Linked DNA regions of Saccharomyces cerevisiae S288C. The gene in region 2 interacts genetically with the main gene of each other region. Each region holds a gene or a part of one and is shown on either strand. Other genes may lie near its edges.

Region 1 (3,899 bases), on a different chromosome or scaffold from region 2:
AAGTAAAACTTATTCAATTCAATAAATTTTTTGGTGGCCTGGTAATTCAAAATTTTCTGATAGTTATCCATTAGCGGTTTCAGTTTGAAAGTTGTTGTTCTAATAACCTCGTCGACCTTTTTATTTAAGCTTTCCACATTTATTTGATTTTCTTTTGGTGAATCACATTGGTTTTTTTCATTCGTTTTCTCGTCAAATTCTTTGTAAATTTGGTCTAACTTGTTTTTAATCTTAACATACTTGGTGAAATTTTTACCAACCAATTGTTTCAAATGTATAGATTGGTCTTGTATATCACTGTCCAACCTGTCCAGTGAGTTATTTAGATCATTGAAAGAGTCTTGTTTGTGCATATCTCTCAGAAAGGCTTTGACGTTGAATTGTTTACTGTTGACAAGATAGTTCAACCGCATTGAATCATTTGGTAGATGTTGCAATTCTTTAGACATTTCTTGTCCATTCAAGGGATCTCTAATATAACTTAACGACTCATCGTTTAAATATGCTCTCGATTCCTTGTCAATGCTAATTTGATTGCCATATTTGAAGTCTTTTAATATGTCGAATGACGTTTCAACGCCAAGTTCATTGCTTGTAGCCTCTTCATTATTCAATTTTGAGGAATCTTGGGCCCAGGAATGGGTCGGATTAATAGTCTTCAACTGATAAAAACGAAGTAGTTGCTCGTCGCCAATTTGAAACCTATCCATGGTACCAAACTTTTTTTCGCTACTTTATTTCAACAGAAACTTCTTTCCTAGTTTAGCAGCTTTAACGCAGCTTATTTTTGTTACTTTAGTTGAATAGTAGGAGTTGATACTTTTGTTTTTTCAAGTTGAAAACAGAAACGAAAAATTAAAGAAGCTGCAGATTCAGCATTCATGCCTAAGCTAAAAAGAACTGGCAGCGAAGAACAGAGGAAAGAATAACTGAAACTATGGATTTTGAGGAAGATTACGATGCGGAGTTTGATGATAATCAAGAAGGACAATTAGAAACACCTTTTCCATCGGTTGCGGGAGCCGATGATGGGGACAATGATAATGATGACTCTGTCGCAGAAAACATGAAGAAGAAGCAAAAGAGAGAGGCTGTAGTGGATGATGGGAGTGAAAATGCATTTGGTATACCCGAATTTACAAGAAAAGATAAGACTCTGGAGGAGATTCTAGAGATGATGGACAGTACTCCTCCTATCATTCCCGATGCAGTAATAGACTACTATTTAACCAAAAACGGGTTTAACGTAGCAGATGTACGAGTGAAACGACTTTTAGCACTTGCTACTCAGAAATTTGTTAGTGATATAGCTAAGGATGCCTACGAATATTCCAGGATCAGGTCTTCCGTAGCGGTATCTAATGCTAACAACAGTCAGGCGAGAGCTAGGCAGCTATTGCAAGGACAGCAACAGCCTGGCGTGCAGCAGATTTCACAACAACAACATCAACAGAATGAGAAGACTACAGCAAGCAAAGTTGTTCTGACGGTGAACGATCTCAGTAGCGCTGTTGCTGAATACGGGCTCAATATAGGTCGCCCAGACTTTTATCGTTAGTGGCTAACAAATGGAAATGAAATATGTATATAGTGTAGCAGTATGCAACTCTTTTAAATACACGATTCGTTATTAGATTGATTAGAGCACTTATTCACGCAAATTTGACACGCTTTTTGAACATCCGTTTTTCACGATTTTTTACTGAAGGATCATGAAAGATTGCCACATAAGAGAACACCTCCGTTGCACCAACACTTCATCACGATAAAAAAACTATCGAGCTATCGTACTACGGAACAACTACATAAGTCAAAAATGGCCATTGATTACTCTAAGTGGGATAAAATTGAACTATCAGATGATTCTGATGTCGAGGTGCATCCTAATGTGGACAAGAAATCGTTCATTAAATGGAAACAACAGAGTATCCATGAACAGCGATTCAAAAGGAACCAAGATATCAAAAATTTGGAGACACAAGTGGATATGTATTCTCATTTGAACAAACGAGTGGACAGAATTTTGAGTAATTTACCTGAAAGTTCTCTTACTGATTTGCCAGCCGTTACCAAATTCTTGAATGCAAATTTTGATAAGATGGAGAAAAGTAAAGGGGAAAATGTTGATCCTGAGATTGCAACATACAATGAAATGGTTGAAGATCTTTTTGAACAATTAGCAAAAGATTTAGACAAAGAGGGCAAAGACTCGAAGAGCCCATCTCTCATAAGGGATGCTATTTTGAAACATAGGGCTAAGATCGATTCAGTAACTGTAGAGGCTAAGAAGAAATTAGATGAATTATACAAGGAGAAAAATGCACACATTTCATCTGAAGACATTCATACAGGCTTTGATAGTAGCTTTATGAACAAGCAAAAGGGGGGGGCTAAGCCACTGGAAGCAACTCCTTCAGAAGCTCTTTCGAGCGCTGCAGAGTCTAATATTCTTAATAAACTAGCAAAATCATCAGTTCCGCAAACTTTCATCGATTTTAAAGATGATCCTATGAAACTGGCCAAGGAAACTGAAGAATTCGGTAAAATATCCATTAATGAGTACTCAAAATCTCAGAAATTCTTACTGGAGCACTTACCTATTATTTCAGAACAACAAAAGGACGCCTTAATGATGAAGGCCTTTGAGTATCAGTTACATGGTGACGATAAGATGACTTTGCAAGTCATTCATCAATCCGAATTGATGGCCTACATTAAGGAAATCTACGACATGAAGAAAATTCCATATTTAAATCCAATGGAACTATCAAATGTCATTAATATGTTTTTCGAGAAGGTTATCTTCAACAAGGACAAGCCAATGGGTAAAGAGTCTTTTTTGAGATCAGTTCAAGAAAAATTTTTGCACATTCAAAAACGTTCCAAAATTTTACAACAAGAGGAAATGGATGAATCGAATGCTGAAGGAGTAGAGACGATTCAATTGAAATCTCTAGATGATTCTACAGAATTAGAAGTAAACTTGCCAGACTTCAATTCTAAAGATCCAGAAGAGATGAAAAAGGTTAAAGTTTTCAAAACTTTAATACCGGAAAAAATGCAAGAAGCCATAATGACCAAAAATTTGGATAATATTAATAAAGTCTTTGAAGATATACCAATTGAAGAGGCTGAGAAACTTTTGGAAGTGTTTAATGACATTGACATTATTGGAATAAAAGCGATCTTAGAAAACGAGAAAGACTTTCAAAGTTTGAAAGATCAATACGAACAGGACCATGAAGACGCCACTATGGAGAATCTGTCCTTAAACGACCGTGATGGTGGCGGAGATAACCATGAAGAGGTCAAACATACTGCCGACACTGTTGACTAGAAATTTATGTAGCTATTTTACTGGTGCAGCGTGCATCTACTTCCTTTTTTATTGTTATTTTCATTTATACATAATACAAAAAAAAAAAAGAAGAAAATTAATGATCAATAAAGAAAATCGTGAAATTACAGCAGAGGTTTTGTACCTGCTTTCCTACGTTAGTACATAATATCTTATTTTTTATTAGTGCATGTTTTTCTCAGTGTGTGTTTTTGTAATTTGTATATACTACACAAAGAATCGGAAGGGTAAAATGTGAAAAATACTGGGTCTTTTGAAATATATTGAACGGGCTAATATATGAAATGAATATGAAAAGAAGAAAAAAATGTGACAAGAAAAAAGTGGTGACAAAAAAGACAAAATAATTATTCAGAGATGATAAACTTAAAGCAAAACTTGGTAACAAACTTTCATTAAAACAAAATATGTATTCTTTTTTCATTTTCATTTTTTTTTTACTGTTTTTTTGTTATTTCATGGAACTGGTAAAGAATTCTTAAGATTTTAAGCTCATTAATAAAAACGCAGCACTATTGTCTTCCCCATTTCTTGGCTGCTG
Region 2 (3,267 bases):
TTTCCTCGTTGAGAAGATGGACACCAATAATGGAAAATTATGAGGCTGGTAAAGGAGCTTATTTTGCAACCCCACCCGTACAACTAATTAATAGCCTTGATGTAGCCTTGAAAGAAATTCTCGAAGAGGGGTTGCATAAGAGATGGGATTTGCACCGTGAAATGAGTGATTGGTTTAAAGACAGTTTGGTTAATGGCTTGCAATTGACATCCGTCAGTAGGTATCCTTCTAACATGTCTGCGCACGGGTTGACAGCCGTATACGTAGCAGATCCTCCTGATGTCATTGCTTTTTTAAAGTCACACGGTGTAGTCATTGCCGGAGGTATTCACAAGGACATCGGACCCAAGTATATCCGTATTGGACATATGGGTGTGACCGCTTGCAACAAGAATTTACCGTACATGAAGAACTGCTTCGACTTAATAAAACTAGCTCTTCAGAGGAAAAAGTGATTACCCTCGTACTTTTCATTTCATATATATATATATATATATATATGTACCTATATATTCTTCTTATTATGGCTTTTCTAATTCTTGCAAGATTCTTTGACAGCTCCATCTTTCGTTTGGTGAAAATGAAACCATCCCCAGGATACAATTAATGAACTTCTGCTTGACTTTGACATCCGCAATCTCGTCCAGTCGAGGCATATTCCTCTCAACAATGCTAATCTGTACATCTTTCTCCTGGTCCAGTACATACTTGCCATCGCCATCTGCACCAAACATACCAACAAATGCATCAACCGAGCCGTGTTGCGCAACCTCTTCCCATTTCTGAATGGACGGTATGCCCAACTTTTCGAATATTGAGCAAATCAGTCTGAAATCGCTTCCATCTGAGTTCATGTCGTCGCTGCCGTCATCAATCATGGCCGGAACGTGCCCCATACGGCTTGTTTCTCTCTGGAACCACTGAGAAATAATTATCAACAACGACCACACGTCCACGCCACCATCATAGCATTTTACTCCAAAAAGCACTTCTGGGGCCTTGTAAATTCCTGTGCTTATATCCGTCACCTTGCTATCCATGGGTTCCGCACTTGTTTGTGAGTTATTTGCCATGTCATAAGAGATGCCAAAATCAATTATGTACAACTTTGGGGATACGGTGCTGGTATTGTTTGTTAGCATGATATTTTGCGGTTTGATGTCGCGGTGAATGATCTTGTTCTCATGTAAGAATGCAATCCCTTCAACCATTTGCCGGAAAAAGGACAAAGAATACCGATTGACGTCCAATTGATTAGTATATTTCTGAACGGGGGGGTCCGCAACAATTGGGATACTGGGATTTAGCAAATCGTAATAGGGATTTTTTTTTCTTCTATCTCTTTTATAGTGCATTTGCATGAACTCATAAAGGTTCATCTCTTCAAAGGGAAACAACAACAATAGGTCATTATTATCGGTAGCCTTAGACTCTAGAAGAGGTAAGATGTGCTTACATTTGTTGCCCAGTTTGTTTAATATCGATACTTCGAATTTGGCGTTATGTGGCGGGATATCGAAATCTAGTGCTAGACATTTAATGGCATATGTATCCGACCTATAAATCCTAGCAGTTCTAGTAGATTTGACCAACTGACAGTGTGTAATGTCTATACTATCCAGTTTCATTAAGATGGGCGTGAATTTTGTTGCCTCTCTTCTTCATCTGGCCTCTTTGCTTCTATGAGACTTCTGTCGTTTTCCTTTTTTTAGGATCACAAACTACTTCTATAACTTAAATAGTCAAATCACATTTTCCACTAAGATACATATTTTCTATACAGGGGGTCTTTGCAGTTATATATACTCAGTTATATACCAATCTCTTTGTCAGGAATTTGATTATCACGTTTCAACCATTCTAGTGCTAATGGATGCAAACTATTCACTTTACTAATAACAACCTTATTGTTGTCATTTTCAAAGGCCACTTGTCCATTAACTTTAGCATTGACCACTTCAGAGAACTCTACGTCTTTCTGATAATCTAAATTATCCACAATCTTACCTGATTTCATATGGTATACTTGGTTAGGCCATTTGGCCAAGCCGTCAAAAATATGTGTAGCGTAGACCACTGAGCATCTTCTGGTTTCGGTCTCCCACTTTAAAAACTCCAGAAGTCTTGCTCTGGCAATAACATCGAGATCCACAGTGACCTCATCAAGTAGTAAAACTCTCCAAGGTTTCAAGAGCCCCATGGCTAACTGAACTCTTCTCTTTTGTCCATCACTTAACCTGTGCATTCTCCAACGTACATCGATGTCCAGGATTCTAACCAATCTTTCACCTCTTTCCCTAAAATGATCGAATCCAATACTTTTTAATAGTTCCAAGACGCCGATATCCCTATTAATGATACTCATATGGCACCATTCCGTACCTAGATAAGTGGTCGTTTGGTAGTTCGTCGAATCTTCAACACTTTCATCATCGTCCACTTGATTCATAGATAATGGACTGAATGGATCAAGACCATTGACCAGGATTTTTCCATCAAGGCAAAGATGCTTACCGCTTAGTAATTTCAAAAGGGTGGATTTACCAGCACCATTGGCACCCACAACTAAAGATCTTGTATTCCATGGGATTTGAAGATTGATATCAACAACTGACGGATCGGAGCTTTCTTTGAATTTGTACGTTAGGTTACGCACCTCAATAGCAAATTGGGAAACCATCTTGAGAGTTATCTAATATCTTGATATCTTATGCAGGAGTACTGGTTTTCTCCATACTAAAAATCTCTCTTTCAGAATTTTCGTTTTTTCTTATTTGAGTCATCCTCGAAGAAATTTCCGCAGCGAATTTTAAAGAAGCACTTTATAATAATACCTTACATATGAGTTTGTTTCTATGTCATGGGTATATAAGGTATATTGTATGCTATCTAGTTGGATGCCCCAGTTTCAAAATGTCCCTAATCGGATCCACCCAGATGTGACTAACGTGGTGCAAATTTATATTTATATGTGATAAGTCTTTCAACTTTGTGGAGATCATGTAACGTAGATTGAGTACTAAACTCAACGACCTTGTAGTCCGTAATTGGTACAGGATAGCTACAATCCCGATAAGTAAAGAAATTTTGCTCCACCTGTTATATTTGGAGGGTAAAAAATGGCCAAGTCTTTGGACCAACGCCCTTGTCTTGGATCTGGCGGCGACACCATGATACTTTTCTTCCTTGTAATGCTCGTTCATCTTTGTTTGTTCGCTCAAATAGAAGATAATGGTGCTCATATCGAAGCATCCTGGCTTTCCACAT
Region 3 (6,110 bases), on a different chromosome or scaffold from region 2:
TTATTCAAACTGTGAGAATACCACAAATCTTTGGCTACAGATTAAACGCTGACGAAAAATTGGTTTATTTATTTCTATCTACTTATTGTACGACCTCAAATGTTTACGCAGTAGTTTCTGAAGTACGAGCAAAATTGCTCGACGATGATTTCGTTATTGTTTCCGGAAAAATTACCCAGCGCATAAAAAGTAAGCTTTCAGTACTTCTCTTTGATGATATTTGTACAGCAAAAGGGTATTTAGTAACGGAATAAATTTAATATATAAGAGTATAAATAACAAAAGACAATATAAATTGAAAAGTTGTAAATATTGAAAAGAAGGCTGCATTATTGTTTTATGTATTTTTGGGAAAAAATATATGACTTAACGAGGTCGAATAAAAAAATTTGGATGATGCCTTACCGGAACGTGGATTAAAAGGAGAAGTACAAAATTCATGCAGTTGTTAATGTTCGCAGGAAATAAAAACAAAGGGAAGGGATACTGAGGGGTGAAGCACAATCCAAAGAACGAAAGTGAAAAACAAGAAAAACAGCAATGACGATATTGGTAGAAGAGATTATACCCTCTTCATGAATGGATTTAATGCACGGACGGTTAAACATGGCAAAGCCATCCCCACCTCAGCTCTCAATAGAATAGGAATCTTTTGCAATTCATGTATTTCTTGTATATAGTTATCATTTTCAATTCTGGTTTCAGTAGTAGAAATGAATTTTTCTAAAGCATTTTGCTTGTTGTCGCTTGCAGATGGTAGCCTTAAATTTGGTACTGTTAGATGCAAATCGCTGAGTTCCTTACTCAATGGATCGCTGATCAATGGTTCAGATTCCGCTTCTTTATCTAGTTCAATATTCGCAATCTCAGCGGCTGTGGATCTGAATTTGTTCTTAATGGAATTTCTATAGGATTTTGGATTTTTTTCATCTGCTGGTATAAAAGTTGCACTATCTACGCCGGGCTGCCAATGCAATTCCAAGACACGATTGGTACCATCAAACTCAGCTTTGATCAAAGGTAGTTGATCTCCATGAACTCTCTTTTCAATACCAAATTCTGGAATAAATACATCAAAGGAGGACTCGTAAACTTGTAAGACAGTAGCCATTGTTAATAATTGTCCTGTAGTATTTCCCATGTCGTTGATTGTTTTACACAACAATAGATGAATTGCTTGTTCCTGTGCTTGATAAGCACAGTCCTTTTTAAAATTACAATATTCGGAGGTAATCTTCAAAGCTTCCATATCTTCGGTGTATGGAGTATCGTGGATAACGGCCTTTAATTGCCTATGAACGACATGATCAGCGTATCTTCTCATTGGCGCTGTGAAATGTGTGTAGATAGGTAGGTTCAAGGCATAATGCCCATATTGGTCCGGGTCTACTTTGCCAGCAATAAAGTATCTAGCTCTTGGCATGGTTTTAAACAGTAAAATTTCAATTCCGACTCTAACATCGTCATCTTTAATTTTTAGCACCCCTTTGATTAATTCATCCGCCGTATTGGTATCAAAATTGTAACCAAAATTTTGAATTTTCTTTCTAAATGACGCCATCTTGGTTGCAATGGGTTGCATCTGCCTTCTCAAAAGAGCTAGATCACCAAGTTTGGTGTAAATTTTCTCTGCAACAGTGGAGTTGACCTTTCTTTTAATCTCATTAATTACAACAAAGCCTAAAGTTCTATCCAGGATGTTCAAGTCAACCTTAACTTTTTCGTCATCCAAGCTTTCCAATAAGGACAGGGTGGGAAGTAATGTAGCTTCTGGATCATTTATTCTTCTAGCATAAAATGATCTAGCAATTTCCTGTACAGTAGAGAGGTAGCTAGTGGGACTTCCAGTAGATAATTTTTCGTCTAATTGTTCTAAAGACAAGATGTTTGAGGGGGAAATTGTAGATTCGCCTACCCAAGTAGATTTAATCCTTAAAGTAGATGAGTCTAGAGTGTAAACAACCGACAGCGTGGCTGATTCCTTGCCAGGGGCCAACGACAGTTCGTCGTTGAACGATTGTGGTAATAAATTGACAAGTTTTTGTGGCATGAACACCGCAGAGGACCTCTTTCTCGCACGCCTATCAACAGAGGAGCCTTCTTCAATATGGCTGGTCACATCAACAACATGACAACCCAGCTCTAGGGTACCATTTCCGTTATTCCTGACATGTAAGGCAAATTCAGACACCCATCCAAGCTCGGAAATTGCAAAGATATTGTACTCATTAGTGTCCGTAAAATTCCTCCTATATTCTAGACTTTCAGCCGTTAATGGTAGCGGCTGAAAACTTGGTTTTTCTTTTTGCGGATTTTTTTGATCCAAATATTCATTCGAAAGAAAATTGTTATCCCTTAAAATGGAATCAATTTCAGTATCAGGATCGTGAATATCTCCAAGTTCGGAAACTAAAATACCAAATGGATGCAAAGATGTGATTGGCCAACGTTTAATAGAGGCAACGAATAACTTTTCGGAGTATTTATCAGCGTTTTCAACAAAGTCCTTTGGAGCTAATTCTGTAGGAATTGCAATTAATGGCACCTTCTTATCAGTAGGCTTGAACCAAGCAATTTTTGGGCTTTGTGGTGGTTTGTTATTGTCGCTATTAGCTTGTTGGGATGGTCTCAACAAACCTAATGTACCGCTAAATAACTGACCAGGGATACGGTCCAAAACAGCAACGACATGGCCTGCGTAAAGTGGCTTATATTTATCGTTGATTTCTTCTTCTTCAACTAATAACAATGACTGACCTTCAACTTCAACATCGTCATTTTTCTTTTGAGTTGGACGTTGTTTCAATGAACTTCTTCTCCTTACTCCTGATTTGGTAGGAGATGATAAGGAATCACTATCATTATTGATAGTAGATGACCTCTTTCTTCTGACGGATAAATCATCCTTGCTTAGCGAATCAGACGAGGAGGGAGAAGATAGAAAATTGTTGCTTGTTGCAGCAGTAACAGATGCATCGTTGTGGTAATCGTCACTACTGTTCAAAGGAATTAGATCGTGTTGCATAGAGGCATCCTTTCTCCTCTTCTTTTCTTCCTTTTCTTTCTTGGACTCCCAAACATCGTCCACAACTAATAGTTCTACCGCGACTAAATCACCTTCAAGTGCTCTATTACGATCTTTGGAGCCGCAAATGTAAATATCCGCATCAAGAGCGCCATCTGTAGAGACCCAGGCATCCGATCTATTCTTTTTATTAACTCTTAATATACCAGCTACTAGTCTCCCTTCTTGGATTAGCTCTGGAATGTTGGCTTGGGGAAGGTAGGGTGCAAATAGGGACTTACGTCCACCTCCGTTATTATTACCTTGTGAACTGAAACTATGAACTGATGAATTAGAGGCACGATGTTTGTGTCCCTGCTGAAATATCGCAGGAGGTTCTAAGGTATTGAAGGAATTGTAATCCCTTGAATTAGATCCTCTGTGGCGGAATGGAGAAAGCTGCTGTTGAGGTTGCTGTGATTGGTTTCTCCAGTTGGAATTAATGCCTGGAGAATATTCATTGTTTCTTGTCTTTGAACGGCGGTGCGTTGAAGAGGTTGCTATGAATTCATCGTCATTATCCCCGTGAGAGTTTGGAGGAAATTTGAAAGAGGGAGGTGATAGGTTTGAAGTTGCGCGACGATGGCCCTGATGAGCATTTGGTGGTGGTGGAAATTTAAAATCAGATTGTTCTGTAGTAGAATTTGAGCCACTATCAGCTTGAACAGAATCTATCTTCACAGTTACGCCTGCTTCACCCCCAGATATTCTTTTAGCTTGTTCTTCCGCAGCAGCCTTTTTCGCTTCATTTAGACCTAAAGAATGTCTTCTGGAATGGCCATATATGCTGGATTGTGAACTCGTCTTTCTGTGTGAGTTAGACCCAGGATTATTGCTATTGTTATTGTTATCATATGAATTATGATAATATCCGGAGTTGTTCCTGGAGTGAGTTCTACTTCTGCTGCCACCTGCACTCATACCAGGTGAATTACCGTTTGAGTTGTAATGAGGGTGAGGCGGTTGAGGCGTGAAATGATTGTTAGAGCCAGAATTTCCTGACAGGTATTGTCCTGTCTGTTGTGCCAATTGCTGTTGCTGAGCCATCAACTGTTGCTGCTGTGCTTGAACTTGCTCCAACTGCTTCTGCAAAGTGAATTGTTCAATCATCAAATTTGTCAACTCACTTTGGGAACGTCTGTGTGCAACATGAATCTGCTTTGGGGCGTTTTTACCACCTCCTGTGGTTTGCACAAACATGTTATTTGGCTCTTGGGATCTATTGTTGTTAACGTTGCTATTTTTAGACATAGTGTATAAAGATGGAATAATTGGGCCAAATCTTTGCGCTGAAAGGTTTTTGGTGTTCTGTTTTGCGATATTAAAGTGACAAAGAAAAAGATGGAACTTGGCAAATACTATACGTTTATGAACCCTTGTCTTATTCTTCGTGCAGGCAACTTAGATTTCCCTTTGAAAAAAAGTTGTTTCTTTTAGAATAGTGGCTATGAAAAAAGTGCGCCTAATGCGGAAAAACGAGGCACCAGCTGTTCTAAAATAAGACCAAAATGTTTAGGGTACCAGAAAAATGGTATGGCGAAAATAAGCCTGGCAAGAAGACTATGCAGATAACTTTGACTATTCCGGTTTTTAGGTTACCAAAGACAGAAGAAAGGATCGGTCCCAAAAAAAGGAAATAGCTTATAAGGGAAGTTGCAGAAAATGCGCTTGAGTAACAAAAAATGTTAGAACGTAGCAAATATTCTAAAAGGAATGACAGAAAAACTTCTTACCTTTCTAAAATATAATCTCTCCTATTTCTCAGCTAGGCTCAAAATTATAATTTAGAAATTATTGTTTGCACGGCAAAACTTCGTTCCTTTGCTGTTAGAAAATCAGTCGGTGTTGGACTCTTCGTCTTTTAAATTCTTGACAAGAGAAGAGTTTTTAAATGAAAAGAACTAACGAGAAAAAACCAGGGGAAGGAGGGAAAGAGCGAAAATACTCGTGATCTAAACTCTTTTAGGTTAGTTTTCGTTGGAGGCAGTGGTCTTAAGACGATGGTGAAAGAAAGGACTTATTTGTAGAAGGATTGTTTATTTAATCCTTGAACTAAACAAATGACAAACTCAGGTCTCTAGCGTTCCTGTTCGTGGCCTTTAATAACTTGATGGCAATGGTAGAAAGACACACCTGCGTTATATAAGTTTAGTTTTCCCTTCTTTTCCTTTCTCATCCCCTCGTGAAGCGACTCGGCCCCTTTGGTCAGAAAATTCAAGGTGATACAAGTCGTCGTCCGTGACATAGGATCAGGAATCACAATCATCACATTGCACTCTCGTTCTTTAAATTATGTATGAGATTTGATTCTATATAGCTACTTGGTGGCGGTATCCTCTCCTGGACCCAACTTGTATAATGCGTCTAGGAATCCCACAATCAATTTGTCTGCAACGCCAGCAGTTTTAACGCTCCCGGCGACACCATATAGAGCGCTAGTTCCGTCTGGGGATGGTTTAGAATTTGATTCGCTCTTCAACTCTTGCACGGTAGTACGTAAAATGTCGCAGATCTCATCCACAACATGAGCGCTCAATCTCGTGAAGGCCATGTGTAGTGCAACCGGCTTTTGTAGGGCATTGAAATGCCAGCCTTTCTTGGACAACCTGTCAGATAGTTCGTGTATGTTCAAGGTCTTTGAAGAAAATGAAATGACTGAATATCTAGGGTTGCCCATTATATTCAGGTCTGGAATGTTTTCCTGGATGTATTTTTTAAACTTCATTGCTGCACCGACTATTTCTTGGCACGACTCAATGTACCCATTTTCACCCATGTTGACCATAGTGGCCCAACAACCTACGACAATAGCACCAGGCCTGGACCCTGCTAATGTAGGAGAGCCATATAACCCGCCAGTCCAAGCAGGATTTACGTAATACTGATGCATTCGTAAGTCGCTGTTTCTATACATTATAACTGACGAGCCTTTTGGTGCAAATCCATATTTATGAGTGTCACATGATATTGAGGTGACTCCCGGGACTCTAAAGTCAAGTAATGGCAGATTTTTGTAACCAGCCTTTTCCATAAATGAAACAATAAA

Evidence for each region. Genes that interact genetically often act in the same process or in processes that back each other up.
Region 1: mutations in CAK1 (region 2) and CDC37 are lethal when combined (synthetic lethality), as found in Saccharomyces cerevisiae (2 studies listed by BioGRID, with this or other methods).
Region 3: mutations in CAK1 (region 2) and SSD1 together harm fitness more than expected from each alone (negative genetic interaction), as found in Saccharomyces cerevisiae (3 studies listed by BioGRID).

Annotation. Positions count from the first base shown.
Region 1 is NC_001136.10:788,512-792,410, forward strand, and holds CDC37 (Hsp90 co-chaperone CDC37), read left to right. Parts: upstream 1-1,816; coding exon 1,817-3,337; downstream 3,338-3,899. Other genes in the region: exocyst subunit SEC5, read right to left, coding at 1-710; TAF10 (Taf10p), read left to right, coding at 938-1,558; STB3 (Stb3p), read right to left, coding at 3,837-3,899. UniProt on the Saccharomyces cerevisiae protein: Co-chaperone that binds to numerous kinases and promotes their interaction with the Hsp90 complex, resulting in stabilization and promotion of their activity.
Region 2 is NC_001138.5:77,534-80,800, forward strand, and holds CAK1 (cyclin-dependent protein kinase-activating kinase CAK1), read right to left. Parts: upstream 1,629-3,267; coding exon 522-1,628; downstream 1-521. Other genes in the region: AGX1 (alanine--glyoxylate transaminase), read left to right, coding at 1-455; putative ATP-binding cassette family ATPase CAF16, read right to left, coding at 1,811-2,680; GTPase-activating protein GYP8, read right to left, coding at 2,886-3,267.
Region 3 is NC_001136.10:1,045,078-1,051,187, forward strand, and holds SSD1 (mRNA-binding translational repressor SSD1), read right to left. Parts: upstream 4,316-6,110; coding exon 563-4,315; downstream 1-562. Other genes in the region: sphinganine-1-phosphate aldolase DPL1, read right to left, coding at 5,382-6,110. UniProt on the Saccharomyces cerevisiae protein: Can suppress the lethality due to deletion of SIT4, and partially the defects due to BCY1 disruption. Is implicated in the control of the cell cycle G1 phase.